2 linked regions of the Alligator mississippiensis genome follow. The protein of the gene in region 2 binds, or shares a complex with, the protein of the main gene of each other region. Links are inferred from orthologs where the notes say so. Each region holds a gene or a part of one and is shown on either strand. Other genes may lie near its edges.

The links.
Region 1: the proteins of ATP2B1 (region 2) and NPTN are in contact, whole or in part, in a cryo-EM structure (PDB 6A69), measured with the Homo sapiens proteins. The link is inferred for Alligator mississippiensis from reciprocal best matches to the Homo sapiens genes ATP2B1 and NPTN. Residues at the interface, in NP_001353449.1 of Homo sapiens: Phe954, Asp955, Ile956, Asp957, Glu996, Arg997, Asn998, Val999, Glu1039, Gln1040, Leu1042, Trp1043, Ile1045, Phe1046, Met1049, Gly1050, Leu1052, Leu1053, Gln1056; in NP_036560.1 of Homo sapiens: Arg245, Ser246, Asn248, Arg332, Arg334, Pro339, Pro342, Phe343, Gly345, Ile346, Glu349, Ile350, Ile352, Leu353, Ile356, Ile357, Tyr360.

Annotation. Positions count from the first base shown.
Region 1 is NC_081834.1:43,561,696-43,569,393, forward strand, and holds the start of NPTN (neuroplastin), read left to right. Parts: upstream 1-4,607; 5' UTR 4,608-4,622; coding exon 4,623-5,109; intron 5,110-7,698. UniProt on the Homo sapiens protein: Probable homophilic and heterophilic cell adhesion molecule involved in long term potentiation at hippocampal excitatory synapses through activation of p38MAPK. May also regulate neurite outgrowth by activating the FGFR1 signaling pathway.
Region 2 is NC_081827.1:85,551,904-85,558,987, forward strand, and holds the start of ATP2B1 (plasma membrane calcium-transporting ATPase 1), read right to left. Parts: upstream 3,047-7,084; 5' UTR 2,948-3,046; intron 2,794-2,947; exon of another isoform or gene 2,720-2,793; intron 2,265-2,719; exon of another isoform or gene 2,099-2,264; intron 1,981-2,098; exon of another isoform or gene 1,769-1,980; intron 1,724-1,768; exon of another isoform or gene 1,654-1,723; intron 1-1,653. UniProt on the Homo sapiens protein: Catalyzes the hydrolysis of ATP coupled with the transport of calcium from the cytoplasm to the extracellular space thereby maintaining intracellular calcium homeostasis.

The sequences.
Region 1 (7,698 bases), on a different chromosome or scaffold from region 2:
CACTCATTTGGGTGTGGCCTGCCTGGTTAGTCTGTGAGATGCAAATCTACTCTGCCTTCAACAAAAGTACATTCAACTTTTAAAAGTTGAAAATAGCTATAAAGTTGAAATAAGGCAATTTTTAAGACTTAAGGAGATGTTGTCAAGATCAGTACTTCTGCAGTTTGGCCTACATACATTTCACGCTCCTGCCTGTTCACATATCTGTGTCTAGTCAACACTAAAGTGCTCTTTTAGTGGAGTGTATTTGTAGTGGCAAACCTTGAGTGTTAAGCTCCCGTGTGGCAGCAGGACCTCCCTTTCTGCTAGCAGTTGCACTTGCTCTTTCATTCCAAAGAAGGCTTTTGGTGCTGTCAAACAGACTCTGGAAGATACCTGTGGACAGTCCCAATCTTCTGCTTTAGCATTCGCTTCAGAACTCATGCCTTTCCAGGCTGCACTTTCCACTCTGCTGGGATGGTTATTGTGGTGGAGCCATGCAAATCTGCTAGAAGCTTATGAATGTGTACATGCGCCAGCAGGTTTCCTTGGCAGAGCTCTTGCCAGCAGAATCTGCTAAGTTTAGACAGGGCCTAAAACGCAATTGTTCTTTTGCAATTTTTAAAGCACATCGTTGTTCTTTAGCATCTCTACTTCCCGAATACTTATTCTTCTCCAGATTGCTGCAGTACCAAACTTAGAGATGCACACAATGAGCACCTTCAGACGTTTGTGGATATTTGGTTCCTTGGGGACAACTAGCGGCAGTGCATCTTGTGCCTGGGGAACAGTTGTGCTATGTGCGCTCAGGTGCGTGGCAGGTTACACAATAAATGTCCCCAGCAGCCTTACCTAGGGCTCTAGGGGCCTCCCCAGCAGCCTTACCTGAGGTCCTGTGCTGGCCCCAGCAGCCTTACCTGGGGTCCTCCCAGGGCTGCAGCAATGGCAATCCTGCTGTGTGGAGCCTGGTTGGCAGTGGAGTGTGGCTCCAACTAGTCAGGCTCTGGATTTGGGCAGCGCACGCTGCTGCCACATGCACTGCCCTGCTTTTTTTTTAACATAGGTTTTAATTTTTATTCATGGATATCTAGGGGTCAAAAAAAACCCTTGATGCTGCTCCCTTCCAGTGCAAAGAACAAAAAGTGCAGTATGTGGCACCGCAGATGTGTCTGCGGTGCCACATACTGCACAGCTGCGCTTGTCTGGATTTGGCAAATAAGGGCAAATCAAATAAGAACTCTTGGGCTCTTTTATAAGCAGTGATATCTGTACAGTGTCTGTTGCTATTGACTTGATTTTGTGCAATATGGTGAACCCTGGCAGAACTACCAAACAGCAGGGATTCTTCAGATCTGTTTCCAGAGATTTGTTGCATTATGGAAAGCATCCAGTTTTAATGTTTGTTCCTTTTTCGTATACTCTATTTGGTTCTGGCTGATTTCAGCTCTGCTTTTAGCTTCTCTCTGGAAGTCTTTAGCAAAAAGGGCCCTCTGGCAGCTGCAGAGTACCTGAAAGTATTGTTCCCAACTGACTAATGCTGTTTGATGTATTTTGCAGTTGCTATAACTAATGAAAATACAAATCTCATAAATCAGTGTTTTGTATGGCAAGCATCTGCCACACAGTTAGTCATTTGCTATGAAAATGAATTAGTTAGCTTTGCCAGAATGTTTAAACAAATCTCCACCTTCTTAGCAGTTGTTCCAGGGTTTTACCCTTAGGTGCAAGTAGCTTTCTAAACCCCAGTTATCCAGTATGGTACGAAGAGGACTTTATTGTCTCTGATTCTAAGTTTCTTGAGTTGCTGCCAGTCTTTTTGCATCCCAGATTCTTCCTCACCTATAGACTGAGCATAATGTTTCTAGTCTCGTGGTTGGTTATTTGTCAGCTAAGCAAGCTCGATTTGAGAGAGTGACCGTAAATATAGAGCATTATTGTAGGCTGCTGCAGTAGCTGTTCAAGATCCTGGCTGGCATTGCTTTGCACTGTGTTTTTGAGGTTGCCTTCTTGACTGTCAGCATTTCAATATGGCTCATAACAGGATTTTGACCTTTTAGAATGAGACCATCTTCTGCACTGTTTCTCTAGACAGGTGTCATCCTCCATTTATTTGACTGCAAATACAATAGCATGTCTGTATTATAGAGCTGTGGAATAGTTTGGATTTCACCTCCCTTATAAAAGTAGACCCTAAGATAGATGTAAAAAGAAGCTAGATTTGCTCATGACTTACTGCTTAGGCTTTCACATTGAAAAATCTAGGTTCAAATGGGTTTGGGTCTTATACATGAATTTGTACAGGAGGGGAATCTCTCTCTAGGTTCTTCCCTACCCAGCACAGCATTCTTAAAATTTGTCCATGGGACAGTATGACAAATCATGTTCATAACTTTACTTCTGTTGTTGGCAACGGAAGCAGTATGAAACCAGTGTGATCCATATATTAGTCACATTGCTGGGAAGCACTGTGCAGGAGCAGCAGTCTAAATAGGCTCTTCAGCTACTACTAATTGGCGGTATTTTATGGAATAGAAGACAAACTAGTTTCTCTTGTGTCCTTCCATCAGCAGGGGGTTACTTTTGACCTTCTGTCTCTCTTGAGTTAACCTTTTCCCTTTTAATATTAATTGGATACAGGGAAAGAATGAAATGGTTGATGAGGCTAATCTTTGCATCAGAAGTAAAACTAGTTTTAATATTAATTTTGATTTTGTAAGGAGCAGTTGTTTGCCTAATACACGTTTCCCTTGCCAACCGCTGGGGTTAGGTTCCTGAAAGTTCCTGTTTTTGGCAAAACTGTGGTTGGCAAGACAAAAGACTTATGGGAAAAATGGCAGGTGGTGGGCTATTGCATGGCCATGGAAAACCGTGGTTACTCAAACTGTATACTGTGGTGGCCAGAATGGTAGATAAAATATTACATGTGAATACTCAAAATCATGGTTGGCAAGGGAACCTGTAGTCATAGTCTGTAGCCATTGCTCATAGCATACTTCAGCTTCCAGTGATTGCTATGGATGGATCAGCATTGGGACAGCAACAGGAGACTTGACCCTAACTGACTTTGCCTTGTGCTTTCTAGCAAGAACAGAAAATGCTTTGCTAATCTTAAGTGACATTTATGGTATAGCATTGGCTTTCTAGTATGTGCAGTTCACTCTTGAATTTTATTTTACACCGGTATCAGTAACCTGTTGAGTAGCAGAAAAAAGACAGCCTTGGAGCTGTTAAAATAAGGGGGTGTGGGTCAATAGTTGGAAAGAAATCTTCTTTGCAAGCTTTTGGGCACAAACACCCTTCCTCAGGCTATTCATTCCATCCAGGAAGAGCACACACAAACTGCAGATACTTCCTCAGCCTGACAAAGGGTGTTTGTGCCCAAAAGCTTGCAAAGAAGAAGATTTTTTTCTCCAACTAATTGAGTTGGTCTAATACAAGATACCAGATTTACCCAAAGAACCTTGTCTGTCTTGTCAGTATGCATTGAAAGCTTTACAGAATGAGTGTCTTGCTCTTTGCTTTCCCTTCCACTTAAAACCAAAATCCGTTGTTTTCTCTTCTTCATCACTTCTGAAAACAGCTCTTTTTGTTGGGGGAAGAGGGGGATAGTGTATTTGATTTACTTTTATCAGTAGTGGAGGCCAGACGGTGACACTAAGTCCTACATGCTGTGCTGCTGTTGATCCCTGGTGCCTGAAGAGAATTTAGCATGGCAATATGACGGGTTTTGCTGCATAATCTAGTTGGCCAGCTGCATTCTAAATCTTTCAGTACACAAAAGACTGGCTTTTAAAGCAGCATTATTTTTGGTGGGTCACTTGCAAAATATGATTTGAAGGACAATTTAGAACAAAATCAAGTGCACTGATGTAGGAATGCTGGTAAATAGAGAAGTTGATCACAAAAAGATTCCATGAACCTCGTACTCAATTGTAATCATGTAAGCTTTTTAACCTTTTCTTTTCTTTTTTTTTTAAAGATATATTACCTGTCTTTTTAGTATAGTTAATTACTGGATGCTGTTGTTTTCTCAATTAGTGAAACAGGTTTGTCCTGTATGACGGATTTTATTCTCACATACGTTAGACTGTTTGTGAGACTCTACTCCTTCAGCTGCAGTGAACGAACTACTGCAGGAAAGAAGGTAATTTATATCTTAGGGAATTCCCTGCCTCCTAAGTTCAGAATAGATGGAAGAAAAGATCAAAGTAGAGTTTATGGTAGAGTGCTGCATAGGGCAGAAGTTTTGATGTTTCTTCTGTGCTTGATTTTAAATCAGAAAACTGTTCAATGCAAAAAGGCTGAAAATGGACAGAAGTTTTTTAGATGCTTTAACACTGGATAAATTTAAATAGTTCAAGCAGGTTAAAAATATAACTTGCAGTCTCTCTTCTCATAGCTCTTAGCTGTCATGTCATTGCTTTCCAGTTCTGAAGGGTTGGTGTGTGTTTACAGCATTAGGCTTGCCTTTTCCAGCCTCCCATAATCCACTTTGCCACTCCAGAGATCCCATCATAAAATGCTTATCTTGATGGCCCGTCTCCCAAGAACCCTTCCTTGAAAGGGCATGCTGTGCTACCACAATTAAAACTAACAAGTCTTCCGTTGCAAGCGCTGTGTGTTCTGTTCTTTCTATAAAAATCATGTTAACGGCTGTTACTGTAGATACTAATGTCTTATCTAATCCTTTGTCTGTTTTCTGCAACTCATTTGCTTTGTTCTTTATAAGATCTGTTATCTTCTGCTGGTCTGTCACTGCATTTCTGCTGCCCCTCCCTCTAGCTGGGTTTGTCAAGTCGCCCATGTCAGAAACTAAACTCACGGGGGACGCCTTTGAGCTGTACTGTGACGTGGTTGGGAACCCCACTCCAGAGATCCAGTGGTGGTATGCTGAAGTCAACCGGGCTGAATCTTTCAAACAGCTGTGGGATGGCGCTCGGAAGCGCCGTGTCACCATTAACACTGCCTACGGGGCGAATGGGGTGAGTGTGCTGAGAATAACCCGCCTTACCTTGGAAGACTCTGGGACTTACGAGTGCAGGGCCAGCAACGATCCCAGGAGGAATGACTTGAGGCAAAATCCCTCCATAACGTGGATTCGAGCCCAGGCTACCATAAGCGTCCTTCAGAGTGAGTTCAGCACCCTACAGTAGTAGTACTGTAGTAACTAGAGGCAGTCCAGTGACCCTTCTCCTTCCTCCCCCTCCCATGACCCTTGATATAACCACCTGTTGTCTTGTTTTCTGAACCCAAGACTGTTCTTCCAGTTGTAGTGCTTAAGTGTCTGCCATCTTTGTTCTGTGCCTCTCTCCTCCCTAGGATCAAAGGACTTGGGAAAAAATCTGTGGAACTGTACTAGATCTGCTATGTGAAAACAAGCCCAGTGTCGAATTTTTGTTTCTCCCCTTCCCCTTTACTTTTGTAATAGGCTTCCAGCCATCCTATTGCTGGCTTCTTCATGAGTGCCTTTCTATTTTGGTTTGTACTCTTCCCTGATCTAACTTTTTTTTTTTTTTCTTCCACTTTCTTGGGATTTCTCTGAATGCTTTTCTTGCTTGTATCATTTTGAGTACATAAACATCTGTACAAAGCCTTCCCTTTTAGTTTGTGGTTGTTGTTACATGTGAACTTTAAAGGCTGGATTTTTCCATAAAGACATGAAGCTTTTATTTTCTAAACAGCAGCATGTAGCTTAATGGATTCTCTGATGCAGCAGCACCTTACTGATGCAGCTCTTCTGTGGTGTGAAAGCAAATGACACAGAGTAAGGGCATGTTATCAAGCTGATGTTCATGAGCTTTAGTCAAATGATTCCCCACTGAGAATATAATCTCCCTTTTTAAATTCTTAAGGCAGAGGGTACAATTGTTTATAGCCGTTCATTCCCCTCTGAGTCAGTGTGCTGTATACATTCTGCTGGCTTCACTTCGAGCTTCCAGCCAAGTTCGGGTCTCATTTTCTGAACATGCACACACACGCTCTTTATTTGCATAGAGAGAATACTGCTTGATCTCTGAGACTTAATGGTCGGTGTACAGTTTGCATCATATTCACAATGGAGTACATGCAGAGACAATTAAACTGGAAAATGAAAATGAAGAGCAGAAGGTAAAGGAGAGTGTGTTGTATTGATGTAAATGTTTTAGTGCCTGGAGACTGAGTAGCAGAGAATACATGTTTTCAAAATTGTTCTGGGTATTTGTACAGATAAACCAAAATGCCACAGAACCATTGTCTAGTTACAACATGCCTCTTCAGCTTCACATTCAGTAGCCCAATATAAAGCCTCAGTGACATCCATTGAATATATGTGGTTGTATCTAAAGTACTCCATGCTCATAAACATCTGGTAATTTAGTGTTAATTTAGTATGCTCAGGAAAGATAATTTTGAAGTGCCTCAGCATTACAGGAAGGTGCTACAAGATGATGGGTGTGCAGGAAGAGAAAATGGATGACGTGCTGCAGTCAGTACTGTTGGATCAGAGAACCTTGCACTGGAAAATGGAAAGAACATGGATATATGTGGAAAAATAACAGAGAGAGAACCCAATGTCATGGATTTATTTAAAAACAAAAAAACATTGGATTGTTCAGCTTCCACTCCTAGTACTTGACCCCTCCCTAGACCTTCGAGGTCACAAAGGACTCTCACCTTAAGTTAACTCATATCAGTTACAGCAATAAGAGTCTCTTAATTTCAGGGAACACTATTCCCTCAAGACAAAACTAAACTAAATTGTCTTGCAGCAAGTTTAACTTCTCTGGAAGTCTGTTTCCTTTCTAATATGACTCCAGCTTCTACTGCCCATGACAGTCTATTTTGTTTCCTTTTACTTCTTGCCTACCCACTCTTTTGAGTGGCCTATTGGTCTCGTCAAATGAAAAAAAAAATTGCATGCATTTGAGGGTGAGTCCTTATGAAAATGCCTTCCTGCTCCATTAGGAAATGCTTCCTATAGCCCTCAAACATAACTGAAACTTTCCTATTTTGGGAAAAACTTTCCTGTTGGCCTGTTCTCACACCTGCATCCAGTGTTACCTAATTCTTGAATGTATAACATGAATTTGTTGCCAAGTGCCTTGTATTTTTGTTTCACATTGGTAAGTTCAGTGTTTGTTTTCTCAGAGCACAACATACATTTTAACCAACTCTACTGCGCGCATAAAGGAGGTTGATCTATGGTTTGTGAGAAACAGGACTCTCAAACCTTTAACCTGCAGGTAATGGTACACTAAAATGAGGAAGGCTGTTTATGGAAGCACAAGCAGTAACGGGAAGGCAGAAGTCCAAGGTCTGAAACCAGCCCAGGACACTTAAGCTGTCAAGAAATTTGCTGAGTAGAAGCTGCCATGTAACTTCATGGAGTGCTGTTGCTTATACCATATAAACTAGGCTGTATATGAAATGAAAGCTTGGGGTTCAGTGGTGTTGAAGTCTCCTGCTGAAGAGGGTCATGATTGCTGACCTCATTTGATACCAACATGTTGGGATGTCAAAGGAAACAAAAGATCACAGCCTGCTTTAATTTAATTGCTAGCGCAGGTTCAGTGCTTAATTTCAAAGCATAATGTAGGGGTGGGGGGAGGGAGAAGCACCGAGTATTGGTTTTAAATTGTAGAACTAGTCTTGGTTCCAACCAAACATTATGTTTTCCATGCTCTTTTACAGTAAAATGATAGATTCTAGCTCAACGTCGGCTCACTTAGGATCAATAGT
Region 2 (7,084 bases):
TATGTACTGTTAATAGCAACAGAAATAATAGTTAGAAACAATTTTACATAATCTTGTCCATCCACCTATGGAAAAATGCCTACTCCATTTTGAACCGATTCTGACAGCATCCAGCAGTTCCCACAAAAAAGACAAACACACACCAAAATCTCCATTCCAAGCTTAGAAGTTTTCTAAAAAAGTTATTCATCTGTATATAATTTCCCCCATAACTTAAGAGAGTCTTAAAGAATTTTAGAAGCTTAAGACATCTTTTAGTTACACAGAAAATACAAAGACAGTGACATTAGACCAATCTGCTTTAAAAGTTAAATCATCCAAAGTTAGAAAATGTCAGCTCTAGATGCCTTACACAAGTCCCTGCAAAACAAGACACGACCATAGCTCAGGATTCCCACCCATTAGAAGCGAGTATTCAGTTTGTAATCCCAGGCATCCACAGAAGAGAATGACTGATATTTCATGCTCAGTAGGATTTTCATTACTGTGAACATTGTAGTTCAGACTATCAAGGTGGCAGTACTGGTGGGGTGGGGGCAATTCCAAGTGCTTTCATCCATGCCAACAGTAGCTTGGACACAGACTACTCAAGCTAAAAGCCTCAAAGTCACCACCACAGTAGAAAGAAAGGAGCAGGAGGCGAGCAAGAACCACCCCCCCCCCCATGCCAGTCCAGATCTGCAATTTGACATTTTAAAAAGGTTTAATTATTTTTTACTGAACTATTCAGTGACCACTTTTCCATTTGCACACTAAACAAGTTTCCATTCATTATGCCCCAAGGATTTAAGTTCTAGTACACTGGAAGCTATTTCTAACAGCAAAGTCAATGCTTTAAGATACTCAAATTTACTTTAGTTAAAAGGCTGCATTTGTGGTCCCTGGAATGAGTTCCTCAAGAGCTTAAAAGCTACAATGCCAGTTCAAAATGTAATGGCCTTATTATATAGCTAGTGTAAATTAAAGATGGTAGTAAGCTAAACAAGCAAAAAAAAAAAAAAAAAAAATTCAAGTCAACCTGTCAAGGTATTTTTCAAGTCAGAAGCCATTTTAAAAAGAGCCTCCTTAAACCCACTTCATACCTGTAACACTTTAAACATATACAGCAATGCCCCCTTCCTCCCCAAAGATTTGCAATGCCATGCTCCTTCATACAACACAATATTAATGGAAGATACTACTCTTTACACCAAGGGTATACTTTGCTTACACTTCCAAGTCTTAAGCTATGTTTTATAGCTCTAAGGGGCATCACTTCAACTTCCTAACTGAATCCTGCAAATTCATTACTTTAAGCCAAATACATTTATTTCTCCCTCCCACACTGAAATCATAGGAGCTTTGGACTACAGATCATGCATTTTTATGAAAAGGAAACAATTAAGCTTTTAAAAATTTCCAGCAGCACTTAAGAAAGCTCAAAATCAAGTTGCATATTGAAGGCAGGACACAAAAGGTCAGTGCCAGGGAACTCTAGCATCACCTCAAATAATCATCCTTCGGCCCCAGAAGAGATCCTTCAAAGAAGACTTATGGTACGCCTTATTCCTCTTCACAAGTTTACAAAAAATTAAACTGAAGCAATGAAACCAGGTGAAGGAGTAACTGGAACATTATCCTCAAGACTCATTCCCTGCTATGAATGTCATTTACCTCAACAGCTAGTCAGATGAATGCCATGGGAGACTAGCGCCACTTAACCATAAATCTTCTAGCTTCGGAAAAATTAAAGCAGATGCTTCTTGTTAGCTCAACAGCAGCCACTTACGTTGCTAGCGAATACCGCGCTAAATGAAATGCCTCCCAAGATCGTGAGCACAAGCACTGCAGACTGGATTTCTGAGGAGAAGCCTTCTTCCCAAAAAGCTAACAGAAGCTCCTCCGGTTTCTGGGCTCTGACACTGGCGGGGAAAAGAAAACTGCTCTTTGAACAGCAAAGGCAGGCAACAGCAGAGGTATTCCCGCAGTCACCATCTTCTGGATGCTTCCCCCACCCTTGCAGGCGCAATCGCTCCCTAGCGCACCAGCAGCCAGCGCTCCCTCGGGCAACTGTTAGCGCTCGGAGGCCCCCCGCACTCAGGCCTCTCCAGCAACTCACGTGGTGCAGCATCCAAAGGTTACACACCCCGTCTGGCGGAGAGTGACAGTGTCAGCACGGCCAGGGCGGGAGACGCTTCCTGCTCTGCAGCGGGGCCAGCCCGCCGCCACCGGCTTCCAGGAGCTGCTGCCGACGCCTGCGGCGGCCCTCGCCCCATCCCGGGGGCACCGCAGGCCCGGGGGAGCGCACCCCGCCCCGGGATAAAGCGGCGCGAGGCGGAGCGCGGGGAGGGAGGGACGCACGCACGCACGCGGGCGAGGAGACACCCTCCGCCACCAGCTGCGGCTTCGGCTCCCGACGCAGCCCGGCGGGGGGCGACCGGCTCCCTTCCTCGCCGCCTGCAGGGGAGGATGCCGCGCAGCAGCCGCCGCCTAATCCCGGCGATTTAACCCGGCAGGGGCCCGGAGCCACCTGCATCTCCGGGCTGCCCGAGGGGCGCCCGGCGCCTCCTACCCGGGGGGGGGGGAGAGGAAATGAAGCCGCCTGCGGCCCCCGCAGCGGCTCCCCTCAAGGTCACGGCCGCCAGGTGCGCACTGCACGGGGCCTCCCCGGGCACCTGCCGGCGCGGCCCCGCGCCAGGATAGGGGGAGGGGAGAGGAGCGGGGGGCCGCAGCACCTTACCTCGGTGCAGCCCCGCTGCAAGGAGCCGCCGGCCCGACCGCCAGTCCCGGCGCTGCCCGCCCCGCCCCGCCCCGCGCCGCGCCGCCCGCCGGAGGGAAGCGGCGCCCTGCGCGCAGGGGAGGGGACACACGCAGGGGCGGGCTCCCCTCGCCTCGCCCCGCCCCGCCCCGCCCCGCCCCACGCCCGGCGGCTCCTCACGACGCCCACAGCACCCCCGCCCGCACTCACCTGCCGCCGGGCCGCAACCGCCAGCGGGCCCCAGCCGCGCTCACGTGACAGACCCGACTCGCAGGCAGGAAGGCGGCGGGGAGCGCTGCGCACCGCCTTCAATGGGGGGGCGGGGGCGGGGCCTGTGATTGGCACCGGCGCCGAGCGGGCGGGGCCCCGCCCCCTGCCGCGCTCTCCCATTGGCTGCGCCCTCTGACGTGCTTGTTTCCATGACGCGGGGGGCGGGCCTAGGCGTTTGATGGGGCCCGGCGGGTTCGCGCGCGCTGACTTTGCCAGGAGCGGGGGGCGCTGCCCCGCCCCTCCCCCGCGGGGCCCGGCTCTGAGGGGCCCGGGCCCCGGCCCGGCCCGGCCGCGCGCGGCGGGGGGGGGCGGGGACTCGCTGGGCGCCGGCGTGGTGCTGCAGTGCGGGGGGGGGCTGCGGCCGCGCGGGCTTCGTGTCGCCGCCTGCCCGGGAGCCCGCGCGCGTGTCGGGAGCGCCGCCCTCCCGGGCCCGGCCTCGCCTGTGAGCGGGCGGGGGACCCCAGCGGGGCGGGAGGCTGGGGTGAAGGCCCGGCCCCACGAGAAACTGCAGGTGTTCAGCCCCTGCCTGCGGGAGGGGGAATCGCCAACCTCAGAGGTTGTGAAGACCCGGCTAGACAAAGCCCTGGCGGGGGTGATAGGGCTGGGGATGGCCCTGTTGTCAGCAGCGGTTGGACTAGAGCAGCGGGTGTCAACCTTTTTTGTACTAGGACCCTTTTGTAAATTTAATGTCCGGTCCCTCGCTCCCAATCTGTTGCCCCTGCTGTGAGGGTCACGGGGGCCCAAGCAGCCCCTGGCAGGCTGGAGCTCTGCCAGCCAGCAAGGGGGAACCCAGTTTCCCGTGTTTTTCTCCTTCAAAGGATCCATTTTTTAAGTTTGTTCACAACCCTTGCATATATTCTCACGACCCACTTTTGGGTTAGGTTGAGAAACGATGGACTAGACCTACTGACGTCATTGCTAGCCCTCATTTTCTGTGAAGGCAAAGGCAGGCCCCCACCCTTTAGGCCTGAACCGTTTGTCAGTGGCGGTTGTGGCACCCAAGGGTTGAGAACACAGTGCAGAAGTGCTGGTTCCCACTCCCATTTCTGACACGGATCAGCCCTGTTTTGGTGAGAAACTGCCAGCTGTAAGGCACAACTGTGCTGGATGCTCTTGGTTTGGTCCTTGGAAGTCTTGTTTTTGACACAAGCGTGTCTACTCAGGAAGGCACTTCATTGGAACGGATGGCCAGCTGTGCTCCAGGCCCTCAGCCCATCATAAATACCCCGCCTTGCCATTGTTGGTGCTCAAGTCCCAGAACTGTTAAAGCCAGCACTGTAAAGACATAGGGAAGCTGGTATAACACTCAGAGCATGAGCCTGAGGCAAGTAACTGAGCCTAGAGGGTTAAGGCAACACAGTGAAGTCAGTATAAACCAGTCTAGGAGCCCCAGCAGATAAATAAATCATTCTGACTACCTTATCATCACTGCTTGCTTGTGCCTCATTGTAGCTTCCTCTTTTCTCACCTGAATCTCTTTCATCTTTCTCCTCATTCAAGTGAAACAATCAAAAAATAAATGCTAACAGTAATTGGCTCCTGCCCATTTTGAATGCCAGCAAAAAATATTACCTTACCCCACATACCTGGAGGTCATTTGAGAAATCAGAACAATGAAACACAAATCTTGCAGAGTAGTTGATCAAGAATCTTTCTTGACTTTCTTCCCAGAAGAAAATAAAATCTCTAACCACATACACCAGAAGAAATTCTCTCACTGCAACTCAGTATCCTCAGCTGCACTGATGCATTGTGGCTTAGCTAGACTTCCCCAGACACTTGAAAATTTCATTTCTGAATACAGCTTTATGAGACTGACAGATGTGTTCTGCACACTTCTGTCATGGCTCTTAGGAAGACAAAATTAGCTTTGGTAGAGCCAAGAAAGGGTGAGCTTCTGGTTAAGGCACAAGGGTCTCATTCATTTCTGGATCTGCCACAGATTTCTTGTGTGACCTTGAGAAGGTCAGCCAGTCCTGCTGGGCTTCTGTTTTCTATTCATAAAATGGGAATAATTATATTTCCACATCTTAAAGGGATGATGAGACTTAATTCTTGTGAGGTGCTTGGATACTGTAGTGAGGGAGGCCGTAAGATTGGATACATTTTTCACAAACAGACAAAATATTAGGCTGTCACTGTTACAGTTATTGCAGTGTTAACATTCATTCTACAGTTGCATCCCAGAACAATGTAAAAGTATGCAACAAAAAAAGGTGGAAATAAAAAGTTAATTTCCACAGCTACTTCTCTGAGAGGTTTTCAAAATGCTTCAGAAATTAATTTTCAGAACTAGAGTGTTCTCTACTATTTTCCCGACAGACTTGATTTCACAAAAGATTTTGTAAGACATTCCTCTTTCCAAAGGTTAGCATTTCTGATAGGGTAACAAAAACATATCGTCTCATTTAGGTCACAAACCTTAAATTCTCCATGCACAAAGGCATACTTCTACAAACATTAACAGTTAGGAAAAATGACTATCAAGAGAATACACATTGGTCTGCAGACAGTTTTGACAAATTGATTGGTTGTAGTAAATTAACTTTGTGTACAACACTATTAGGGTCTAGGTGTCACACCTTTTTACAAATGGAGAAAGTGTTGTGCAGAGAAGTCAGATGAATTTCCAAGGTTCCCACAGCTGTATCAGCATTTCCACATGCATTTAAACACCTGGAATGCTTGTACAACATTTGGGCCAAAAATTATTAAAGTGATCAGTGATTCTAGGGACCTCAGTTTATGGGTACCCAGCTTAGTATTTCATAAGAACTGGAGGACTTGCTGGATAATTACTGGAGGGCTTACTGGATAATTGATTTTCCAGTAATTTCTCCAAATTGGGAACACAGAGAGCAGAGAACCCTGCTCTAGAATGGTCCAAGAAGGAACTTTCTAAGACCCTGGGTACAAAGCAAACCAGTGCAGACATATTTTTTTTAAGTTCTTGCTGCTACTGAGAAAATTGAAACTGGGCCACAACACAAATAAGTGTGAACAAGACTTTGTTGAACTTGGTGCAACTGTAAGTATTAGGACAGTTTGTGAAACGTCAGGAGCATTTTTGCTTGTGGACATCGAGCTAAAATTTGCCTAAAGAGGCTACGAATTTTCAGACGTTCCCCAACCAACTACATTAAATTCAAAGTCTTGTAAATGTTTTGCCTACACTGATTCACATAGTGCACAGAGGAAGCAGTGACATTCATTTTATGCCAGTTCAGTTGATTTTCTCAACTCAGTCCAACATATTCTTGCCTGCTATTCAAACATCATTCTAGACAAGAGTCCTTTTCTTTCTGTAAAGCTGGCTGAAGTTATCTTTTAGAGTAATTTTCCAAGAAGCCTCTAGCTACTTATAATTCCCTTGTTTCACCTTTGGAAATTGGGTATGCCTTTCACTACTAGCATCCTCTGTAAAAATATTCAGCTTTTTAATTTGACATGGGATAATACCTTTCCACAAAACGTTTACAATCAATTATCCATTTTTTTAAATTTGAAATACAAAATTAACTGAAGAATTGATTTCTAGAATGTTTCCCCGAGCTCTAGTTTTGTTCTGTTTTGGTCCTTTAATTTCCTGTACTTTACATCTTCTTTGCTTTTCTTCTCTGTTTTTCTCCTCTGCTGGCTTCTCTGATTCGATGTTGTTTTTGGTAAAAAATGTGCATTGTTATCCTTTTTAGCCCACACAATTAACACAAACTTGTGGCTCTGTAGGTTCCTTCCACTGGGAAAAGAAGCATGACTGAGTAATCTTTGGTTTAATAATGTTTGTTTGCAAAGAATGTACAAACTAGGCACATCTACACGTGCAATTGATGCAACTGAATATACTCCTGTTCAGCTTGAGCTGGAGTTGGAGTAAACTAATCCCAATGTCACCGTCTACATGTGTTTAAGCATAGTAATCTACTGCACTGCCAGACATCACTTGTATCTCATGGGACTGTCTGGCAGTTCAGTAAATTAATCTACTGTGCCGTATTTGCCATGCACATGTAGATGGTGATGCTTTACTGTGCAGCAAATTAGTGGGGTGGGACACCAGGCCATGAGAGGAGCCAGAGG